Linked DNA regions of Tamandua tetradactyla. The main gene of each other region encodes a partner of the protein of the gene in region 3 in a complex. Links are inferred from orthologs where the notes say so. Each region holds a gene or a part of one and is shown on either strand. Other genes may lie near its edges.

Region 1 (7,878 bases), about 3.5 Mb from region 3:
AGATTTGGTCCCCTCCTCCCTAGAGCAACGAGTGCCCTGAGCCCAGAGGGGGATGAGAGAAGTTAGGGAGGGTAACCAAACCCAGCAGCTGCTGCAGCCCTGGAGGCAGGGAGAGGACAAGATGGGTGAGTTGGAGCCTCAGCTATCACAGGGGTGCTTCCCCAGTGCAGAGAGAATCCCAGACTCCCCCGAGGTCTAATTCCAAATCCAGTGACCTCTTCTCATCCCCCATCCCACTAAAAGGTGCTGCAGCATTTGCTACTATGTCCACTTGCTTCTTGCGATTTTTTCCTCTGTTGGTGATTGAGACCAAACTCAGCTCAGTTTTCCTCCTACGTCTCTGACCGCCCCTCCTCTGAGGAGTTGTGGTTGGCCCGGGAAGGCAAACCCACCTGCCCTGTGAAGGACCCTCTTTGTCCTCAGCTTTTTAAAGTCCCTGAGCCCGGAGAAGATTATGCTTTCACATCAGCCCCTCCCCAATTTCTATATATACCCAAACTAAGTCTTTCTAGATTTTCTGGCTGTCAAGATTCTGCTTATCCAGAATTCATCAAGACAGAACTTTCTTTTTTCTCTCCTCTTTTTACTCATTTTGTGCCCCTGCTCTGTCTGTGGGCTAAGCTGCGCTGACCTGACTGTCAGGAAATCCTGCCCTGTCCAGAACATGCTTTCAGACCAGTGATCCTGTGACAGCGGTAGATCATCAGTGCAGGGAAACCCAGCTGTTCTAGTAAACTTGTTTATTGCCTTGGTAGAGAGTGAACTTCAGAGCAAAGTCCAAATCAACTCAGAAATATCCAACCGGTCTGCAGAGCAGATGAGTTCTGATAAGACATGACGTGTTCCCGTGAGGTGTATGAAAACGACAAACAACCCAAAGAAAGCACACAAAACTGACCTTGAACTACTGTGGAGCAGGAAGTTTGGTTATTTTTATCCCCAATATGCTGCTTTTTTTTTTTTTTGGTTATTCTTTAAACTGTACACTGACATCATCTATATACGCATCTCTATTTTCCTTATCCAGCCCCTCTGCTCTGGAACTGCTCTCTCACACCGTTCCCTGCCCCACCTCTGTAGGCGACACCCAAAAGGTATTTAAGAAATAACCGACCTGTTGCACATCCGTAGTGGAAGTGTACCCACAAAACATGCATGCACCCCATATAAACCAACACGGACTCATAACATGCCATTTAAATTGTATTTGTATGGTCCCAATTGTAAGAGGAAAATTATCTATGGAGCTATTTGCCCTCTGCCTCCCTGTCGAATTCTAACTCGCAGGAAGGAGGACCCAGCCTGCATGGCTCAGCGCCATGTCCATGTTTACACGCACATGAAGCACGCACAGGTATGCAGACAGACGTGAAGTCAGATCAACTCTGTGCTGCCCCATGCAATATCCAGAGAAAGCTTTTATCTGCATTGTCTCATTTAACCTCTGTCACGGCCCTGGGAATCCAAGGAGCTAGCAAATAGGGAATTGAGGCTCTGAGCAATTAAGAGACATGCCCAAGGCCATACCACCAAGAAGTGGAAACCTGGGACTTGAGTCCACTTCTCCTGATTCTTAATCCTGTTTTCTCCCTCCAATACCCAGCAGCCTCCCATAAATACAGTCACTCATATACACACACAGGGACTTACCCATGAGCATGATTGCTATTTCATCCCGACAGAAATAACCTTATCGATACACACCCTCACCGGGGCTGGTACACGTAGAGTCAGGTGTCCACGTGTGTCCAGATACAGACATCAGTGGCCCAGAACCAAAGATTGTGAGCATGGGGCGGGGTTCACAGACCACTGGGCAGGAAACCTACCCGCTGTGGGTGGGCCAGAGGGCCAGGGCCGCACCAGGAGCTCCCAATCTACTTCTCATTGGCACCGCCGGCCCACAACCATCTCACACCCAGAGTCCCCAGGGTGGAAAGTCACAGCCATGAACTTGGGAAACTGTGACAGATTAGCGGGGCAGATTCGGGTAGGGAGCAGTGCAGACGTCGTTCAAAAAGCTGGAGAACTCCGAAAAGTATCTCCGCTCCCTCCACCCCACTCCTAGAGTGTGCTCAGGAAGCGCCCCCACCCCTACCTCTCTCCACATCCACTCCCATCTTGTCTTCTATCCAAGACCACAAGGCAACTGCTGCCTGGGGCGCGGGATGGAAATGGTGAGTTAAAATCCACCCCCCACCCCCCAAAAAAATCTCCTAGCAGAGAATCAAGCCACCAGTTCTTTTCATAAGAGCCCCTTCTCTTTAGACTAACTGCCGAGAATCTTAAGAGCACAGAACTAGGCAATAACACCTCCTGTTTATGTAAGTCTTCCCTTGACACACACTCTGACTCCACCTCTACAACATCCTACAAGGAAACCAGAGGGACAGACATGTAACGGACCCGCATTCTGCAGACTAGGAACGGGAGGCTCAGGAAATTAAGTTTCTTGCTCAGGGCTGCTTGGCTAGCACACCGCACTCCAGGTGAGTTCAGAGCTCTCAGGTGACATCCGGTTGAGATCTCTTCATTGAACCCTGCTCCATCTTTTCAGAGAAGAGGAAACCGAGGGCCATAGAGGGCCCAATAAACCAGCGGCAGAACTGGGGCTGGACTCAGAGTCTGTCTCCAGGGTCTACCCTCTTTTCGGTATGCCAAGATATCTACCCAAATGCTCCAACCTCCAAAGATGAGGGTATTGTTCAACCAACCTCGGACCACAGAAGTTGCTCCTGTCCCAGGACACGGTCGGCTGAGATTCCCCTGGCCTGCTCTGCGTCGGGCACCCCTCGGTGACTCAGCACTCTCCCTGTTGGCTGGAAGGGGTGTCTGATAAAGGGTCAGGCCCAGCTCTCCCAGGGAGAAGATGCTGCTATTGCTGCTGCCAGTTTTCAGAGTGTCTCAGAAGATGCTTTCAGTCATATAAATCGTCTCACCCAGGAGCTGAGCTCACTCACGGGCAGCCAATCCAAAGCACCATGGGCCAGCCCACCCTCCTCCACCTGCTGTGACCTGGTCCTTGCCCCTTCCTTCTCCTCCGGTGATAGGAGGCTTAGCTCAGCCACCCTGGAAAAAAAACAGTTTCACTTGACAACTTCCTTATTGCACCCAAACCCCAAGAAGAAACCAACCTCTGAGCAAACAACCTTAGGCCTGGCTTGGGGAAGACCAGTCCATGGAATTATAAACAAGCGTTTATGGGAAACGCAGGCGAGGGGTGGGGAGAAGGAGGAGGTTTGCTTCTGTGTAGCTTTATCACCTCCGCCACCTTCACTTGGTTGTCGTGAAAGGTCAGCAGGGAAGGAAGGATTGAGAAAGAGAGGTGACTGGGGAGCATGTTTATTCCTTGACCTAGAGACTAAAGACTCAGAAGTAAGAGCTGATAAGGACTGTGTTTTCCAATCTTGTTATTTCTGGCCAGGCTTGCCATGACTCTTTAGAGAACATTCTAAGAAGTCTTACAAGTCAGATTTTCATTTACTATAGAGTCTGGATTATTATATATATATATATATATATATATATATATATATATATATATATATATATATATATACATATATATATATATACATATATATATATATGTATATATAGCTAGATATCATGTGTTTATAATCAGAAAATTTAAAAGCTAGCTTTATTTAAACAAAAGCAAAACATGTTTGAAATCCTATTTTGGTTCATTGACCTGGGAGACAATAAAAAGTCAAGACTGGAAGTACCTGAATGTGAGAATGATAAAGGGAGAAAGGTTGGTGACACAAATGAAACCAGAAAGAAAGATAGATGATTGATTTGAACAATGAATAAAAAAGTATTTGCAAAGTCTCCTTGGGGGAAGAGTGAGAAAAGGGGAAAATTCAACTTCCCCATTTGGAGAATTCCTGATATTCTCAGAAGCAGTGGGGCAACCAAATCAATAGGCTGAGCCTTCAATCTTGGGGGTTGTTCATATGAAACTTATCTCTGCAAAGAATAGGCTACGCCTACTTAAAATCAGGCCTAAGAGTCATCCCCAGAGAACCTCTTTTGTTGCTCAGATGTGGCCTCTCTCTCTTAGCCAATATGACAAGCAAACTCACTGCCCTCCCCCTCTACGTGGGACATGACTCCCAGGGGTGTGGACCTTCCTGGCAACATGGGACAGAAATCCTAGAAAAAGCTGGGACTCAACATCAAGGGATTGAGAAAACTGACTCAACTGAAAGGGGAAAAAGAAAACTGAAACAAAATAAAGTATCAGTGTCTGAGAGATTTCAAACAGAGTCAAGAGGTTATCCTGGAGGTCATTCTTATGCATTTTATAGATATTCCCTTTTTAGTTTAAGGTGTATTAGAGAGGCTGGAGGGAACTGTCTGAAACTGTGGAGCTGTGTTCCAGTAGCCATGTTTCTTGAAAACGATTGTATAATGATATAGCTTTCGCAGTGTGATTGTGTGACTGTGAAAACCTTGTGTCTGATGCTCCTTTTATCTATGGTATGGACAGATAAGTAAAAAATATGGATTAAAAATAAATAAATAATAGGGGGAACAAATGTCAAAATAAATTGAATGGATTGAAATACTAGTGAACAATGAAAGGTAATGGTAAGGGGTATAGAAAGAAAAAAGGGGAAACAGAGTTTAAAATATATTGAGTAGATGGAAATACTAGTGAACAATGAAAGGACATGGGATGTACGAGTTGTTTCTCTTTTCTTTTTACTTCTTTTTCTGGAGTGATGCAAATGTTCTCAAAAATGATCATGGTGATGAATATACCACTATGTGATAATATTGTAAGCCATTAATTGAACACCATGCACAGAACGTTTGTATGTTAGGAATGTTCGTTATATGTTGTTTTGATTTGATAATATGAAAAAATTTTAATTAATATGTAATAATAAAAAGAAAAGACTGGAAGCACCAAGTTTTGGCCTCACTCAGACCTGGAACCATCTGCCAGCTGTGTGGCCCTGGGCAACAGACACACATCTCTGGGCCTGTTTCCTCACCTAGAAAACCAGGGTGATTGCGAGGGCCAAATGTCCTCATGCTTGCAAGAAAAGAGACAATAGAAAACCAAAAGAAGAAAATGTACGGCATGCCTTCTATGTAACAGTCACATTTCTACATATTAGCACAGTGCCTGGCACCTAGTAAATTGCCAATAAAGGGCCAATACCTTATTCTTGGTAGGAGAGTTGTTAGTGTTTCAGTCATTCTGTCAACAAACAAGTTTGGGATGCAACTGTGTGCCAGCAGCCTCGGCACTGAGTACAGAGAATTCATTCACCTAAGAGGTGATGGAGGCTTCAAACAAGAGGCTAAACAACAAACAGTATTAGTTAAACCCTTCCTTCAAGCCTCATGCACACTGTATGTGCTCTTTCTTGTTCAGAGGTGAGTTAGCCTGGCCCAGCCCTCTTGGAGTTTATAGTGGAGGTGGGGAAACAGACACACAAAGAGAAAATCATGAATCCAGCTCAAAAGGCATCATGTAGGCACCTGTGATCCCACATCACTTGTAGGAATATTCACCCCTAGTTCTTGCAAGAGGAGCAGTCATCATGTCCCTATTAAGAAGGTCCCTCACCAGGAAGGGCTTATAATATAGGGTGCCCCATGCACAGTGAAGATGCAGGGCCTTTTGTTTGAAAACTACGACGAATTTCAAGGAGAGACACAGAGGGGGGTCTGGTGAAGCGGCCACAGTAGGGGCCCGGATGGACATTCCCAACCAAACGCTGTGAGAAAACACAGCAGAGGGAGGAGAGAGGGAGATTGAAGATCCTTTTTGAAATGATTTTTCCAGTGGAACATACAGAAAAGGGCAAAACTCCTAAGTATGCAGCTCGAGGAATTGTCAAAGGGGAATAAACCTGTGTCACCAGCACCCAGAGTAGGAATCGACATTCCCAGAGCCCCAGAGGAACCCCCCACCCAGTCCCCATGCCCCTTTCCAGGCAGTGTCCCTGTGGGCACCACCACCCTGACTTGTAGCCGCTTAGATTCAGTTCGCCAGGTTCTGAGCTTTATATAAAGAGGAGCCAGGCTGCACCTCTTCTTTTAGGTCTGGCTTTCTTCGCTCTGCCTCGTGCTTGTGAGATTCAGCCATCCTGGGCCTGTAGCTGCCGCTCCACGTTCTCTGACTGCCAATGCCGTGGGGCTGCAGAATCCTCACACGCCACCGGTGGGAGCAGAGAATGATACAGGCGCTTTGGGACACTGCGTGGCAGCATCTGCCAAAGCTGAGCAGACAGCCCCTATGACTCAGCAGTTCCACTCCTAAATATATGCAGAGCAGAAATACATACACACGTGCCCCTCCAAGAAAAACAAAGCAGCACCTTTTATGAGAGTGTTCAGAGCAGCGCTATTTGTGATAGCCAAAAACTTGAAACTACTCAAATGTCCGGCGGTGACCGTGAAACGGAAAAATGTTGCATTCACAAAACAGAGAATTTTTTTCCCCCAGAGAGGTTGTATGTTTATTTATTCACTCTCTTGTGTGGACTGGGTAAGCCACACGGAGACACAAAAGATAAGCAGGGTCTGGGATGAAAAGGGGGCACCACATTTAGAGCAGGGTAGAGTGCTTCAGCCTCAGGAGTGATTGGTGGAGCTGTTCTCAGTAACATATTTAAGGGAAGAATTTTCACAACCTTTCTGAGTTTGAAACTCAGCTTCCCAGAAATCATAGCAAGAGAATTTACATGATGGAAATAATTATGCCAGCTCTTGATGACTTTCAGGAGCAAAGGGCACCCGCGAGTGTGAGAACACACCCTCCTTTCCAGGTCCAGACCCTCTACCTGGAATCCAGGGCCAGGTCCCAATCCAAAGTCCAGCCCCCACCCTGTCTGTGTCTTCTTTCCTTCCTCGGCGAGAAGCACCCAAAAGGCAGAGGCTTTACCCCTTCCCCAGCCAGGTCAGTACCGAGGACCGAGGTCCCCTGACACCCCACCCCCACCTCCACACCAGCCCCCGGCAAGAAGGAAATTACAGAATATTCTTTCGGTTGGTATATAAGATGACAGAAGTTATGTCTTACAATGAAAGTGCTCAGGAAATCTCAATTCCCATGCAGTCTCACTTGCTCGGGGACTTTTCCTGTCTCTTCAGTGTCTCCCAGTATCCCCCCTTCCTCAATTGTTCTGGGGTGACTCAGGGGGACCTGCTCCCGCAGCACCTCAACTCCCAAGTGGGTGACTCTGGGCCAGTTAAACTCAGTAATAATATCGTGAGTAATTCCAGTAGCAACAACCACCTGTGATAAATTTACTATGTGCCAGGCCCTATACTAAAGGCCTTTGCAAACGTTACTTATTTTTTACCCTCACGATAACATTTATAAAGTATACATTATTTTACAGATTAGGAAACTGATGCTCAAAAAGTGGCCCTGCTAGCAAGCAGTAGATTAAAATCTGTTAGTCAGTCTCCAAAGCACAGCACACCTCTGTTCTTCTGAACCTCAGCTTTCACAACTGTAAAATGGGAACAAATGATATCAACCCTGCAAGCCTGCCAAGAGACTTCAAATAATGCGATCCGAACGGGCTCCCAGCATGGGAAGTGGCAGCATTAGCTCAAGAGGAGCCCACATTGAGGTCTTGCCTATAGTGCTGGAGTCTGCAGCTCTTTCACGGAACTTGCTCCAAGCCTAACAGTGTGCTATGAATGAAATCAGCTGGAATGGTTCCCCTCACTCCTCTCTCCTGCGCCCTAAAGTGGATACTGGTCCACTCACCCTCCCGTGGCTCCAGCCAAGCTCTCACACTCCATGTATTAGTAAAGAAAACTTTGCCAGCACCTTGTCAACAATGACTTAAGCCAAAGTTTCTCAACCTTGGCACTGTTGACATTTTGGGCTGGATAATTCTC
Region 2 (7,224 bases), about 3.6 Mb from region 3:
TGTATTGTGGTTATGAAGAAAAATATCTTTGTTCTTAGGAAATATGCTGGATTATTTAAAGTGAAGTCAGTACGTCTGCAATTTAATCTCAAATGGTTGAGCAAAGAAAAGTGTATGCGTGTGTAGAGATAAAAAGATATAATAAATGCGACAAAATGTTAAAAAGTAAAAAAAAACCTAGTGAATCCATGCGAAGGGAGCAACCATTGATTTGTTCTTACATTTCTTTAGATTTAATTTTTTAAAATAAATGTTGGGGGAAAAAATACCTCCTAAAAGTCCCTGGAAATTAAAGTTTTCTATTTACTTTCTACAAACTCTTTATAGTGATTTTCAAGCCCTTTAACGTCACTCCATCCCCCACAGGGCAACGATGGGCAGGACCACTTCTTGTTCTTACTCATCTCTGCTTTCCCTAGAGTTTCCCTTAAATTGCGTGTAAGGACGGTATCCCTGGACTTCCCACGACCCCACCCCCTCCACTTTTCTCAGAAAAGTGGCCTTAAATTCCCCACGTATTTGGAGAAATTACGTATTTTTCTCCAAAGGATTATGTTTCCGGGTATAGATTTCCCCACAGTAACGGAGATAAACCTTGGTTCCACCCAGTCCCTTTCTAGCCCTCAGGAACGGCTTGTGATTCCTATTTTCTGGCCTCAGCTCCAGACAGAAGCCACTGAGGGGAGAGGGGAACCTCCTCATGAATCGGCTTCCTCAGTAAGAATTTTACTACGGGCAGTACTTAGGGGTTTCTTTATTCTTTTCAAGGTTCCCTGCCACCGAGCTTTCTCGGGGATCTGAGCCACTACCCACTCCTCAGCCTGCTCTAGGCCGGAGGACCCCGCCCCGGCTCGCTCCAGCGCCTGGAAGAGCGCGCGCTCGGCGGGGCGGCGAAGGTCACGTGGGCCGGTTGTGGCCAATAGGGAGCGCGCACTACGCGGCCTGTGGGCCGAGCCGGGTCTCCCGCGGACAGGCCGGCGCGCGCTTTGCTCGCTGCGAGACTGGTGGGAGCTGGAGGCGGGGAAGCGGGCTCCTGAGATTACGCTGCCGTGGGCCTCGCGTTATCCGGCCTTTGGCGCTCTCGACGTCATGATGGCAACTCCGTGCCCCCCCCCTCACCTCGCCTCCTTCAGTCTGCACATCCCCAGTTCCTTCAGCGATATCTTAAAATATGAGGGGAGAAACGTGCGCTGCCTGAATATTAAGAAAACCGAGGTCTCCCGGGCCAGGGAAAGTATGTAAAGGAAACGAGAAGCTTGTGTCTGCAGCCATCTCTAATTGGGGAATCCTTGTTTCGACTTGACAGTCATTTAATACTAAAAACCAGCCGCAAGTAAGGTTTTATAAACAAAAATGAGATTTCTAGGCATAAAAACAAATATGTAGACTAAGTTGCTGCTTGTTACTAAGTCAAATCTACTGGTGTTAATTCTTTTCACCCTGCCTCTTTTTTTTCTTTTTCTTTTTTTTTTAAACTTTTTTATTAATTAAAAAAATTAACAAAACATTAAGATATCATTCCATTCTACATATACAATCAGTAATTCTTAATATCATCACAGAGTTGCATATTCATCATTTCTTAGAACACTTTGCATCGATTTAGAAAAAGAAATAAAAAGACAACAGAAAAAGAAATAAATGATAACAGAGAAAAAAAGATTATACATACCATACCCCTTACCCCTCGCTTTCATTTACCACTCTGCCTCTGTCTTTTAAATAAAAGTGTAATGAGAAAGCATTTTAAGTAAATGCCTCAAACACCCACAGGGCACCTGAGAAGGGACCCATCAGCTTCTTAAGGAAAATCAGTAGGTTTAGTGAGCATGAGAACATACTGGAAAGGGTTTACAATAAAGAGTAAATCCTAAAGTGGTGGGTGCACAGCTTTGCGAATATACTAAAACCCACTGAATTGTGCACTTTAAAAGGCTAAACTTTATGGTATGTGAATTACACTCAATTTTTTTTAATCCCGCAAAAAACCCAAGTTCTAGAAAGTGTTCATGGCTGACTGAATATCAGGCTTTGAGAAATAACTGTTGCTGACACCTGCACAGATAAAAATTCAAAACTTTAGTCAACTGAGTACTTTCCAGAAAACGGATGCCATTTGGAATTTCCACATTCTTGATGGCATGTAAATCTTTTAAAATTGGATAATTAGGGCGGGCCACGGTGGCTCAGCAGGTACGAGTGCTTGCCTGCCATGCCCGAGGAGCCGGGTTCGGTTCCTGCTGCCTGCCCATGTTAAAAAAAAAAAAAAAAATTGGATGATTAGTTTGAGATTAATAATTCCTTTCAAGTGTCTGGCATGTTTTAAATCTAACTAAAAGCCCAAGACCCCATAAAGCATTCCTAACGCTCTCCTTTAATGCTCTTCAAACATAATTTTCCAACATTCTGGGACATGTATTTATCACATACTTTTGCAAAACAAAATTTCAAGTTTATCTTCCCTTCATGTTCTTTCCTATATTGGAAAAATCAAGAAGGGACCTAATCTGAATTTTCTTTACCTTAACGATGCAAGCATTGTCAGGTTAAATTTAAAGACCAATTTTTGTGAAAAGATCATTTTGATTCTATTTTAGTTGTTTGTGGACAACCTTAATTTTCACATTGAAGATTCAGAGTTAACAGAATCTAAGGGATTTATTACCACGAAGCAAAGTCAGTTTTAGATTTTCACTTTAAGAATTTTAATGAATACATTTACCAGTGTCTTCTTACAGTTAATTTAAAAAAATTATTTAATGCCCAATTTTATGTTCTTGATACTAAGAAAAATACATGCTGAATAGAATATTTATCTTAGTTTAATGCAAACAATATCTTACCTGACATGGCTGAAACAGGCTGGGAGCTGACAAGTCTGGTCATGTATGCCTTCTGAAAACTGTATTTCACCCACAGTGATTTGCAACAATTTGTTACTTTAGGAGAGGGATTCAGGACTTCTTTAAGTTCATAAACAATGTCATCATGTTTTCTCATCTTCATTTTTTTTCCCTGTTGGAAAAAATATTTTTAAAACATTTCCTTCACTTTTAGGTATCTAGATGATATATTAGATGAATATTGATATTTTAACGATAGAGGCACTTTTAGTCTATATAAAAAGGATTATGAATTGGGATGAGAGATTGAATTAGGTAACCTCTAAGATCTTTTTCAATTTAGATACTACATCATCTTTCTATGTTGCTTGATCTTGAGATCTGGTACACCATCCCTCATCGTCATTTCCCAATAGTTATTCTTCATTTTTGCAATAGCCTCATTCCAAATCAGGAGACAAGTCTTAATTGCTATATAAAGAAAAAGGAGACAAATCAGTGTAGCCAATAGAAAAATGGATTAAAAACCTAGAGAAGTGAAAAAGAGTAAAGTATATATTCTTTTGTTCTTCTTCCTCATGTTTGTGTGTGTATGCTAATGTGTCCGTGTGTGTGAATTTGAGCCCAGAATGATTCTTGTAGTATTCTTTAATTCTCCATGTGCAGTCCATCTCTACGGATGCTAATGAAGGTTAGTCTCCCTGCTCCTTTTTTTTTTTTCCCCTCCTAGTATTGTAGCATCAATCTAATGCGATGGAGAATTGAACTAAGAGTTTCCTTGTCTACCTGGGCGCTTAATTCTCTTGACTCGAAGCTTGGTCATAGAGTTCAACTTTCCATTCTACCCTCTAACTCTAAGCAGTTACCGGAAAGGGAAGGAAAAGAGAAAAGGTCAGACCATAATGAGCAACCAAAGAAGGTAACAGAGGAGGCCTTTTGGAGTCTTTACATCAGTGCCATCCAACAGAAGGATAATATGAGCCACATATGTAACTTTGTTTTCTAGTGTTTACATTAAAAAAAAGAAGAAGAAACAGGGTGAAATTACTTTTATATAATCTCTTTTATTTAACCCAGTATAGCCCAAAATAAATCCAAATGTTACCCTTCATCATGCAATCATGAGGTATTTTACATTCCTATTAGTTTAAGTCTTCAAAATCTGGAATGTATTTTACACTTAAATCTCAATTCAGACTAGCCACATTTCAATTGTGCAGTAGTCTCTAGTGGCTACTGTATTGGACAGCTCAGCTTTAGAGAAAGTAGCCTAGGATTGAGGAGAAATGACTGAGAGAAAGGCAATAAGCAGCCATCTAAGCTATAAAAAACAAACAAAAAAACCCAGGAAAGATCATCAAGTAAAATTCTGACTCATCATTTTTCAAATGTACCACATTTTCCAGTATAGAAGGCTACTTCAATATTTTGATTGTGATTTGGCCCAGATTGAGGGGGAGGGAGCAGTGGGAGGAAGGTTTGCGGGTTCCTGGCATTTTGGGCAGCCTGACATTTTCACTATATTCATCAGGCAACCTTCTGACTTAATCTGATTTCTCCAATAAACTTTCTGTTGGGAAAAGGGATACTCTCCAACTAATACAGCCCTAATCTTGGCAGTTATATTCTTGCATATGAAACAATAAACTGACATCCTCTTAAGCTTGATTATTTGAATTATCCTCTAGAGCTATATGAACTGATAAAATCAAATCCTAATTCAGGCAAAGTTGATAAGGTCCAGCTGCCAGTGAGATCCTTATCTGAAAAAGCCAGCTGCTGCCTTACCCATCAGCTTGTAGTGGAAATGTCATTTTATATTAATTATTAGATCACATTGGTAGATAATTGAGAATAAAATGTCTAAAAATGGCCTTTTAAAATTAACAACCAAGAATTCTAGACTTGATTTCCTCAAAATTGGTTTTTATTATAGTATTATGTTCCCCAAACAATTCTGCAGGATATTAACAGGTATTTATCAAATAAAAAATCAATGCCAATGATATTTTCACCTAAAATTTATTTTTAAATATATGTAAGAAAAACACTATGCTCTTGTATGTAGGTTTTAATATTATTGAATAAGTACCTTTAGGAAATGGTGTGCCTACCTGAAAACCTCAGGAAATCCCAGGATTCAGAAAAGCATGATAATGGATTTACACATGGAAGCCTCGGCAACCACTGAGTTGATGTATGATGCCATTTAATAATCATTAGTCTATGATAGTATCTTGCTTATCGTTTCAATATATATTTTTGACATTTTTCACTTAATTTATTTTATCTACTTCATGGTTGTTTTGATAAGTTTAATATATAAGTGAATGAAGTTTCTATCATTTCTTGCAGCAACTAACTCATCATGGGTCCACAGTTTGCTGTCTCTGTGTGCTAGGCCTAAAAATAGTCTCCCAAAGATGTCTCCATCTTAATCCCCAAAACCTGTATACATATTACCCTACATGGGAAAGTAGATCTTGCAGATGTCATTAAATTAAGTAAAATGTGATGAGAAAATTATCTTGGATTTTCTGAGTGGGCCAAATTTAATCACATGGATCCTTATAAGAGAGAGGCAAGAGGGTCGGAGTCAGAGAAAGAGATGTGACTATGACAACAGAGATGAGAGTGATGTGAGAAAGAGACTATTAACCAAGGATTTCAGGTAGCTTCTAGAAACTTAAAAGGGCAAGGAAACAGGTTCTCTTCTAGAACTTCCAGAAGGAGCACAGCCCTGCTGACCCATTTGAGATTCTGACCTCCAGAACCACAGGATAATATATTTATGTAATTTTAAGCCACTAAATTTCTGGTAATTTGTCACAGCAGCAATAGAAAAGGAATAGAAAACAATTACACTATGTTAATCTGAGTTCATATTATATTTTGGTCAGTATGTCATAATTTAATGTTGATGGAAAAATAAATTTGGAGATACAGTTATAGATGGTAGTCCATACTATAAAATAGGTTTTTCTATAATAATAACTAGTAATCATAAAAACTAGAATTGCTGATTTGGGGAATAGTGAGAATGGGGGAAAATTCAACTTCCCCAAGTTGAATTCTTGATATTCTCACAAGCAGTGCAAACAACCAAAGCTATAGGCTGAACTCCCAGTCTTGGGGTTTGTTCATATGAAACTTAACCCTACAAAGGATACGTCAAGCCTACTTAAAATTAGGCCTAAGAGTCACCCCCAAGAGAACCTCTTTTGTTGCTCAGATGTGGCCTCTTTCTCCAGCCAGCACAACAAGCAAACTCACCACCCTCCCCCTGGCTATGTGGGCCATGACTCCAAGGGGTGTGGACCTTCCTGGCAACATGGGACAGAAATCCTAGAAGAATTTGAGACTCAGCATCAAGGGATTGAGAAAACCTTCTCGACCAAAAGGGGGATGCATGAAATGAGAAAAAGTGTCAATGGCTGAGAGATTCCAAACAGAGTCGAGAGGTTATCCTGGAGGTTATTCTTACGCATTAAGTAGATATCACCTTGTTAACCAAGATGTAATGGAGAGGCTGGAGGGAACTGCCTGAAAATGTAGAGCTGTGTTCCAGTAACCATGTTTCTTGAAGATGATTGTATAATGATTGTATAATGATTTCACAGAGTGACTGTGTGATTGTGAAAACCTTGTGTCTGATGCTCCTTTTATCTACCTTGTCAACAGACGAGTAGAACATATGGAATAGAAATAAACAATAGGGGAACAAATGTTAAAATAAATTTAGTTTGAAATGCTAGTGATCAATGAAAGGAAGAGGTAAGGGGATGGTATGTATAATTTTTTTTTCTGTTGTCTTTCTATTTCTTTTTCTGAGTAGATGCAAATGTTCCAAGAAATGATCATGATGATGAATATGCAACTATGTGATGATATTGTGAATTGCTGATTATATATATAGAACAGAATGATCAAAATACAAATGTTTGCATTTGTTTGGTGTTTTCTGGTATTAAAAAAAAAAAAAGAATGAATGGAACCAAAAAAAAAAAATGAAATTGCTGAACCCTAATTATTGGTGGTAAAAATGTAAATTAAGCTACAGATCTTTACAGAGAGAAAAAACTATTGATCTCCTACTGAATGCCAGGCACTGTGTTAGTAGCTGAACAAAACAGACAGTTCCTTCCTTCATGGAGCTAGCAGTCTACCAAGGAAAACAGGCATATACGTTTAGTTAGAATTGTGGTAAATGTTGTGAGAATATATCTTGGGGGAAGGAAAACAGGCATATATGTTTAATTAGAATCGTGGTAAATGCTGTGACAATATATCTTGGGGGATAGACTTAACCTGGTCTGGATGGTCAGGAAGGATTCATTTAGGAATGACATTCAAGCAAAGACCTAAAAGATAGGTTGGAATT
Region 3 (7,007 bases):
CATAGGGAAATAGTGATAGAGCTGGGATCTGAACCCAAAGTCCAGAGAGCTACCTGGACTGGTTAGTTGTGGGCCCTGAGCTCTAGGCTTCCTTGGAAGAGGGTAGAAGGACAACCCTCTTACTTCCTCCCCCAAAGTCACAACAATTGCATTCTCTTGTTTAGCAGACCTAACTCAGTGATAAGCCAATTTACTTCCTTATTTCTCCCACTGCAAGGCTTCTTTCCTCCTCCTTTAAGCCCTGATCCCGGATCCCGTCCCTGGAGGGAGCTGGAGTGGAGTCAGGGTTACGCCCTGGGATGGCGCAGTGCCCATCTTCCCATGTGCTCTCCCAGCCCCTGGACCCACCCTGGCCCGCGTCCGTCTAGTGTGTGTCAGGTACCCAGCCCTCATGTCTTTGGGGAACACGGGAAACAGATTGGAAACCAAGACCTCAGGCCTAGAAAAGTCACATAGGGAAGCAGTGACAGAGCTGTGACCTGAATCCAAAGGACTGGGCTTAACCTTGACTGCAACCTGGCTTCTGAGCCTGACAGGCCACCTCCACTGGGTGGGGAGGTATTTTTCCTCCTTGATCCAAGGTGGGGAAACTGAGGCAGGAGAGCCTGCCCTTTTCTGCTCAGGTAGCTCCAGTAGTTCTGGGATGGTGAGGGGGCAGGAGGGCCCTTACCAGAAGTGGAGGATGGGCTAGGCTCTTCGCATCCCTGGTCGGGGGGACCTGGGCCTTGTCCAGATGCCATTTTTCAGACCCGGGTGGAGGATAGTGTCAGCCTGTGGGGATGGGTGAGAAAAAGTATGTGGGCATGAGCAGGAAGTCATGACTGGGAATCCCAGCATAGTTCCCAGGGCCCCACAGCAGGGAAGGCTGCCTGACTCCGGGAAGGACCCTGAGTCCTAGCTCCAGACTTCTCTTATGCCACCAGCTTGGGTCCCAGCAGAGTCTGTTGGCAGAATCAGAAATTGATGGACACTTCACTGGCAACACCCTAGGGGGTGCAAGAGGGGAGGCAGCCAAAGACACACTAAGAGTTCAGCCAAGATTTGCTCCCAGGTTTCTGCACCCCAGTGTGACTCTGAGGTCATGTTTCTCCTCACTCCTGGGTGGGGGAGGTTAGTTTCAGGGGCCCGGCACACTCTGACCACAGGCTTGTCACCTCCTAGCCAATGACCCATGAAGGAGTGTCCTTGAAGGCCCCACTTCCCCTTGGCCCATCACGGCACACCTGCTTTTCCAATTCAGGCCTGTAAGCCACAAACATTTCCTGAGCACCCCCACACTGTACCCCTACCGCTTATGAGCACCCCCTGGGCCCTGGGCATTGAAAAGTCATATTAACCAGCAAAGTAAGCATCGTCATACCAATTTTATAGGTAGGAAAAGTGAGGCACAGGCAGATCAGTGCTTGAGGCCCCATAGCTAGTCAGGAAAACTCAGGTTGGTGTCCTGAATCTCCATGAGTCCATAAACTCAACACTCATTTAAAATGGATTTTCCTGTGTGTGTGTGTGTGTGTGTGTGTGTGTGTGTGTGTACCTCATAAGGTATCCTCTCCAGGGCAACTTTCCCCATCTACTTCCTGCTGGTCCCCTCCCCACTCTTGCCTCCGGATGAGCTGAGGAAGTCCTCGGGAGCCAGGGTCTTCCTCATTGCTCCCTATACTGACTAGTGCCACGGGCTCCCCACCACATACCTGCTCTGTCCCCAGCCCCATTTCCTCATTACCCTGCCCTGGCAGCTGCCCTGCTCCACTGGATCTGCTCTGTGAACCCGAGAGAAAGAGTATTTCCTGGATATGTGCTGTTTCACTTTCAATTTGCACCCCATTCCAGAGCCACATTTTCCCCAAAGCTGCCTCGATCACTGTAGTGAAAGCTGCCCCTCCTGCTGTCCCTGGGGAGGGTACAACCCCACCCTGAGCCAAGCAGGGCTACTCCCTCGTCCCTAACTGGGTGCCCATACCCTCCTCCCTTTTAGGCCTGGGGCTATTTTCAAAAGTACCCCAAAGTTGTCTGGGAAGGGGGCTGAATCACTCAGAGCTCCTCCACTCCACCCTCAGGGCATGTCTTAGGCAGACTCTCCTTTCCCCTGGGCCAGGAAGGACAGACTTTTGCCTGGCACCGCCCCCCACCCCCCACCCGCAGCTCCTTCCTGGAAAAGATGCCTTTCCCTCTCCCTGGGCCTCTGAAATCCCACACCCCCAAGTCAGCAAGGATGGAGGATGCTGAGCATACCCCTAGCTCTCCCTACAGCTGGGGAGCAAGTGTAGCCCCAGGAGGGCCCCCAGGGCCAGCGGCCTCTACCACCCCCTGTCCCCATTCCGAATGGCCCAACTTCCTGGTAAAGGGAATCCCCCCAGTCCAATTTGCTTGGCTTAGTTGGGCCAGTGACCCTGGCAGGATGTTCCCACGGGAGATGCCTGGCCAGGGCCCCAGACCCAGTCTAGGGTTCCTAGGGCAGGAGGAAGCACTGTGGATGTTTTCGCCTTGACCTTGACCTTGGCTCTGAACTTCACCCCCCATCCCCACCCCCAATCCCCAGACCGCTGCAGGACCCAGTTCTCAGGCACCCATAGCAGGGGCAGGAGGAGACACCGTCTGAGGGGCCAGCCAGAGGCAAGGGGTAGCGGAGTGGCTGGGACAAGCCCTGAAGCTCTCCCCCTCCCCACCCTGGGCCTGGGGCCGGGATGGGGAAAGGCTGGCAGGATGAGCAGGACGCCCCCTCCCCTCTACCACCCCCACCAGCCCAGCATACCTAACCCCGACTCTGGTCCAGAAGCGGTGGGGTGGATCGCAGGGTCAAGGCCGGAGGTCCCCAGGAGCAGCGGCCGCGCCCAGGAGAGGGGTGCCGAGGCCGGGCTTCAGGAGCCGGCGTCAGTGAGCTCCCGGCATCGGGATGTCGCCTCTGCTTGTCACCGCCGGCCGGAGGGGCGCGAGCGGCTGGGAAATCATAGAGGTGTGGGCTGTGCCCAGCTCCAGTCAGCTCCCTCTAGAGGCAGCGCCTCCGCGGCCGCCGGATCCGGATGCCCGGGCCGCGCTCCCCCCTCCACCCCACGGCCCGCGGGGCGGAGCGGCTTCTCCCGGCGCCGGCCCCCAGCCCTCGATCATTTCTCCCTTCCATCAATCCGTGTCTATTAGAGAAAGCCACGATGGCTTTCTTAAGCGTCCCCAGCGTGCTATGTCCTTTAGCGGTCACTTTGTCTCGTGGAATAATCTCAACACCCCCTGCAAGTAGACACTGCCAACTCTGTCCATTTCACAGAGGAGCAAACCGAGGCTCCGGCGAAGGTTTAAGGAACTCTGCCAGGTCACTGAGCTGGGTTTATAATCAACGAGGGCTGTGGGTGCCATGCGGAATGGCAAGAATAAGTTGAGATTCAACTTGCAATGGCATCTTGGTAGTTCTTGGAGCTGGAACCCATGAAGGTGAAGGACAGGTAAATAATGAGGTGTGTGCTCCCACCTGGGCACGTGTGAGCTGGAGGCTAAGGGCGCTGAGGAAAGGAGGGCAGATACTGTCTGGCCGAGGGGAATGGTTCTCAGGGATGGAAATGGCCGGGGAAGGGCCGGCCAGGTGATCCTCATCAGCCCCCTCCCCCATTCTGAAGGTCTAGTCCACTCCCACACGCCCCCTGTCCACTCCCTGTCCAGTCCCCCAGGACTCCCATTAACACTCCCTCCCCAAAGCCTTTACCCTCTGCTCTATTTGCCTGTCAAGCACCCCCCCACCAAGCCTCCTGCCCCTGCCTCATCAAACCCCCCATCCAATTCCTCTGCCCCTCCCACTTCCCATGAAGCCCCATGAAGCCCCCTCCCACCCCCACCGCCCGACCTCCGCCTTCTAGAACTCCTGGAAGTTTCCAATCGGAGGTTTTAATTTGAAAACTCCTCCTGTTCTTAGGCAGTTGGTCCTGGTGTGGATGCTGCAGCCCTTCCCTCTGAGTCGCGGTCCCCTCAGGATGGAGGCCCCAACTCCGATGCCCCCATCCCGAGTTTTGGGCCGCTCCTCCTTGTTCCACTTTTTCCGCAGCCTGGTGGGGAGCAAGAGCGGCCCAAGGGGCTGTGGCAGGGTCCTGGTGGGGGCCTGTGTGCGCCCCTCTCAGGAGCAGGACGCAGTGCCCCTGACGATGGCCCGGCCTGCCATGCTGCCCTGCGCCCTTTCTGTGGCCATGCCCAGGGGTTCCCAGGACCCGCCAGGGCCTCAGCCTGCAGAGGTGGGGGGCGTGGGGGCCCAGCCCGCCACCCCTCTGGAGGTCCTTCCTGTCATGACCCAGAGTGGAAGAGGGAAGTCAGGCCTGCTGAGAGGAAGCCAGGAGGTGCTGGACAACCTGTCTGAGAAGGAGGAGGAGGAAGAAGAGGAGGGGGAGGCAGTGGGGGAGGCCTGTGGAGACACAGGGGCCTCAGGCAGGTGAGGGGTTGGGGCTGTGGGTATGGGGGTGGGGGGGGTGGCAACGGATGGGGAAGGGGCCTGGGATGGCCTGAGATGGGGAAGGGGAGTCCTTGGATGAATAGAGAGCACCTAGGTGGGGAGGGATGGGGAGATGGGGGTTTAGGGACCGAAGACAAAAGGCAGGGGCTAGGGCCTGGGCAGGGAAGGTGCCAGGCTGGACTGGGGCTCCGGTGTCTTCCCCAGCCTCCTGTTCCAGGCCCTGCTCTATCTACCCTGCCTTCTCTCCCCACACTCTCCCTCCTGGTTTCCCAGTCCCCTCTGGGCCTGACGCCCATCCCCTGTAAGGAAGGGGACTGGCTTTTCCCTCTGCTCCTCACTCCCCACTTGCCAGGAGGGACAGCCCCTCTATGACAAAGAACCAGAGCGCTGAGCAGGGCCTGAGGGAGCGCACAGCGGGGACACCGAGGGCCCTTGCCACATCTCTGGGACCAGCCCCACTCCCCACCTGACTCTGCTTTGGGATCAGTCTCCACTTTGCCCAGGCCCTCGAGGTGGAACAAGGATGCCTGCGGAGGGCAATGGGAGCCCTGGAGGTCAAGTTCAAGGCCCTCACCGGAGAGGAGGAGAAGGAGTGTCTGCTTGATGGTGAGTGTGGTGACCCCCGGGAGCCAGAGAGATGTCAGAAATGGACCCTGTGCCTCTAGAGCTCCTCAAGGTATGGGGCCAGGAAGGACCCAGGACACAGTCTGAGGGAACTCTAGAGCCAGGCTGTGTGGGTTTGAATCCCACCTCTACCACACCAAGTTGTGTGACAGTGGCAAAGTTGCTTAACTTCTCTGTGTCTCTGATTTCTCATCCCATAAAATGGGAATATACTACTACCTCTCTGCGGGGGTGGGGGGAAAGGGGGTAGTTGCAAGGATGAAATGAGATAGTATTTGTAAAGTGTCTGACACATAGGTGTTTGCTAAAGGAAGAAAACCCTCCCCCCAGCTCAGACTTCCCCTGTTCCTGACCCCCGGGCCTGGGCACCACCACCCCCAGCCTGGCAGTGACCAACACCCCTTCACAGGAGACCTCAGATTAGCCTCCTCAAAAATGGGGACAACTCCCTGGAGCCGCCTCCTCAGTTTGTACAAGCAGCTCCAGAAATCGGCCATGGCCAAGGTCTTTGGGACTAAGGTGGGGTAGTGGGGCGGGGGTTGGGGGGGGAGGGGATGAGGCCTGGGAGGGGCCCTTCCTACCCCCACATCTGGCTGGTCCCAGGGTATGGGGCCCAGGGGCAGCAGTCCTCTTTCTTAACCCTTTGGAAGCCGTTGCCTTCTGCTTGCTGTTTTATCTGGGAGACATAGGGCTGCAAACTTGGAGTCCCAGCCCCCTCATCTGCTCTGGCCTGGCTCAGTTTCCTTTCAAGGAAGGCTTGCCTCATGAGGAAGAGAAACAGGAGAAGGAAATGGAGGAAGAAGATAACTATTTCAACCTCTGTGTCCCAGGCACTGCCGCCACCTTCCAGTCACCACTGTATAAGACTTTGAGGTCAACAGATACAGCCGGTAAGTGCAGGACCCTCCTTCCTCTCCCCTCCCCACCTACTGCCAGGCCTGGGGAGGTAGTACCAGCTCTGACCACCAGGTGGTACCAGAGGCCCTAAGATGACCACCTGAGACGTGGTGGGTTGGTGAGGGGTTAGGGGGGCACACATAGCATGGAGTTGTGTTGGAGGCCATGCTGTTTAACCAAGAAAGGGGTCCTCCTCCTCCCTTTCAGGGTTTGGGGATTGCGATTTGGCCTGGAGCTCCTCAAGCACCAACTTTTTCTCAGCCTAAGACTTCTAACTCATTTGGTAGCCACTTCTGTTTTCCCATCATGCATTGCTGTGACAGCACCCTAGAGGGCCCTTCTCCCAGTGTCGCCCCCATGCAGTCCCAGACATGGGGGGCAGCTGGTTCAGTGGTGAGAACGTGCCATGATAAAATTGGTTAATATTTACATAGCTGTTACTATGACAGACTCCATTCCAAGCACTTCTCACCTAATACCACATCATAACTCCGTGAGATAGGGCCTATTAGCAATCTCCACTCCACAACAAGGAAACAGAGGCACAGGAGGTTAACTAACTTGTCCACGGTCACACAGCTAGTAAATGACTGAGCTGGGACTAGCACCCGGCCAGTTAGGATTCCAGATCAATGCTCCTGATTTGGTGGCTAGATGTGTGTCTTCTTTGAAACCCATATACTCTGCAGGTGGGAGCCCTTGGCAAGTGAATTTCCTGGGGAAGTCCGGGCTGGCTCCAGGTCATGGAAAAAGAAAGGGCTACGACGGGGAGTGAGCAGGGATCATTCCAGTCTGGGATGAGGTTGGGAGTGCAGAGGCTATCTCCTCTTTCTTGGATTCCCAGCAGTTTGCTCCATCCTACTCCTACCTGTCCCACACCCATCTATCTGGCTCTTAGGTTTCATGGAGTCGGAGCTGGAGAAGTTTCTGGCAGTACAACGGGAATCCCACCTCTGGAAGGCAAGCAGCCAGGACATTCTAGGGCTGAACAGGTTTAAGGAGGCGGGCAACGTAGATGGCCAGGTAAGCCAGCCCACTGTCCCCTGCCCAAGGACACTAG

What was found.
Region 1: the proteins of BAK1 (region 3) and BNIP5 are in contact, whole or in part, in a crystal structure (PDB 8IGC), measured with the Homo sapiens proteins. The link is inferred for Tamandua tetradactyla from reciprocal best matches to the Homo sapiens genes BAK1 and BNIP5. Residues at the interface, in NP_001179.1 of Homo sapiens: Leu78, Ile81, Gly82, Ile85, Tyr89, Glu92, Phe93, Met96, His99, Leu100, Tyr110, Lys113, Ile114, Ser117, Leu118, Ser121, Asn124, Trp125, Gly126, Arg127, Val129, Ala130, Phe134, Ala180, Leu183; in NP_001010903.3 of Homo sapiens: Ile246, Ile247, Gln248, Met249, Ile250, Val251, Leu253, Leu254, Lys255, Arg256, Val257, Gly258, Asp259, Gln260, Trp261, Glu262, Glu264, Gln265, Ser266.
Region 2: the proteins of BAK1 (region 3) and PXT1 are in contact, whole or in part, in a crystal structure (PDB 8GSV), measured with the Homo sapiens proteins. The link is inferred for Tamandua tetradactyla from reciprocal best matches to the Homo sapiens genes BAK1 and PXT1. Residues at the interface, in NP_001179.1 of Homo sapiens: Ile81, Gly82, Asp84, Ile85, Asn86, Arg88, Tyr89, Glu92, Phe93, Met96, Leu97, His99, Leu100, Tyr110, Lys113, Ile114, Ser117, Leu118, Glu120, Ser121, Asn124, Trp125, Gly126, Arg127, Val129, Ala130, Phe134, Asn182; in NP_694535.2 of Homo sapiens: Ile78, Ile79, His80, Lys81, Leu82, Ala83, Met84, Gln85, Leu86, Arg87, His88, Ile89, Gly90, Asp91, Asn92, Ile93, Asp94, Arg96, Met97.

Annotation. Positions count from the first base shown.
Region 1 is NC_135331.1:93,114,548-93,122,425, forward strand, and holds the start of BNIP5 (protein BNIP5), read right to left. Parts: upstream 3,010-7,878; 5' UTR 2,715-3,009; intron 1-2,714.
Region 2 is NC_135331.1:93,205,850-93,213,073, forward strand, and holds the start of PXT1 (peroxisomal testis-specific protein 1), read right to left. Parts: upstream 3,010-7,224; 5' UTR 3,007-3,009; coding exon 2,844-3,006; intron 1-2,843.
Region 3 is NC_135331.1:89,593,615-89,600,621, forward strand, and holds the start of BAK1 (bcl-2 homologous antagonist/killer), read right to left. Parts: upstream 3,007-7,007; 5' UTR 2,753-3,006; intron 772-2,752; 5' UTR 741-771; coding exon 671-740; intron 1-670. Other genes in the region: gametogenetin-binding protein 1-like, read left to right, coding at 3,918-4,405, 4,914-5,032, 5,460-5,569, 5,790-5,940, 6,846-6,970. UniProt on the Homo sapiens protein: Plays a role in the mitochondrial apoptotic process. Upon arrival of cell death signals, promotes mitochondrial outer membrane (MOM) permeabilization by oligomerizing to form pores within the MOM.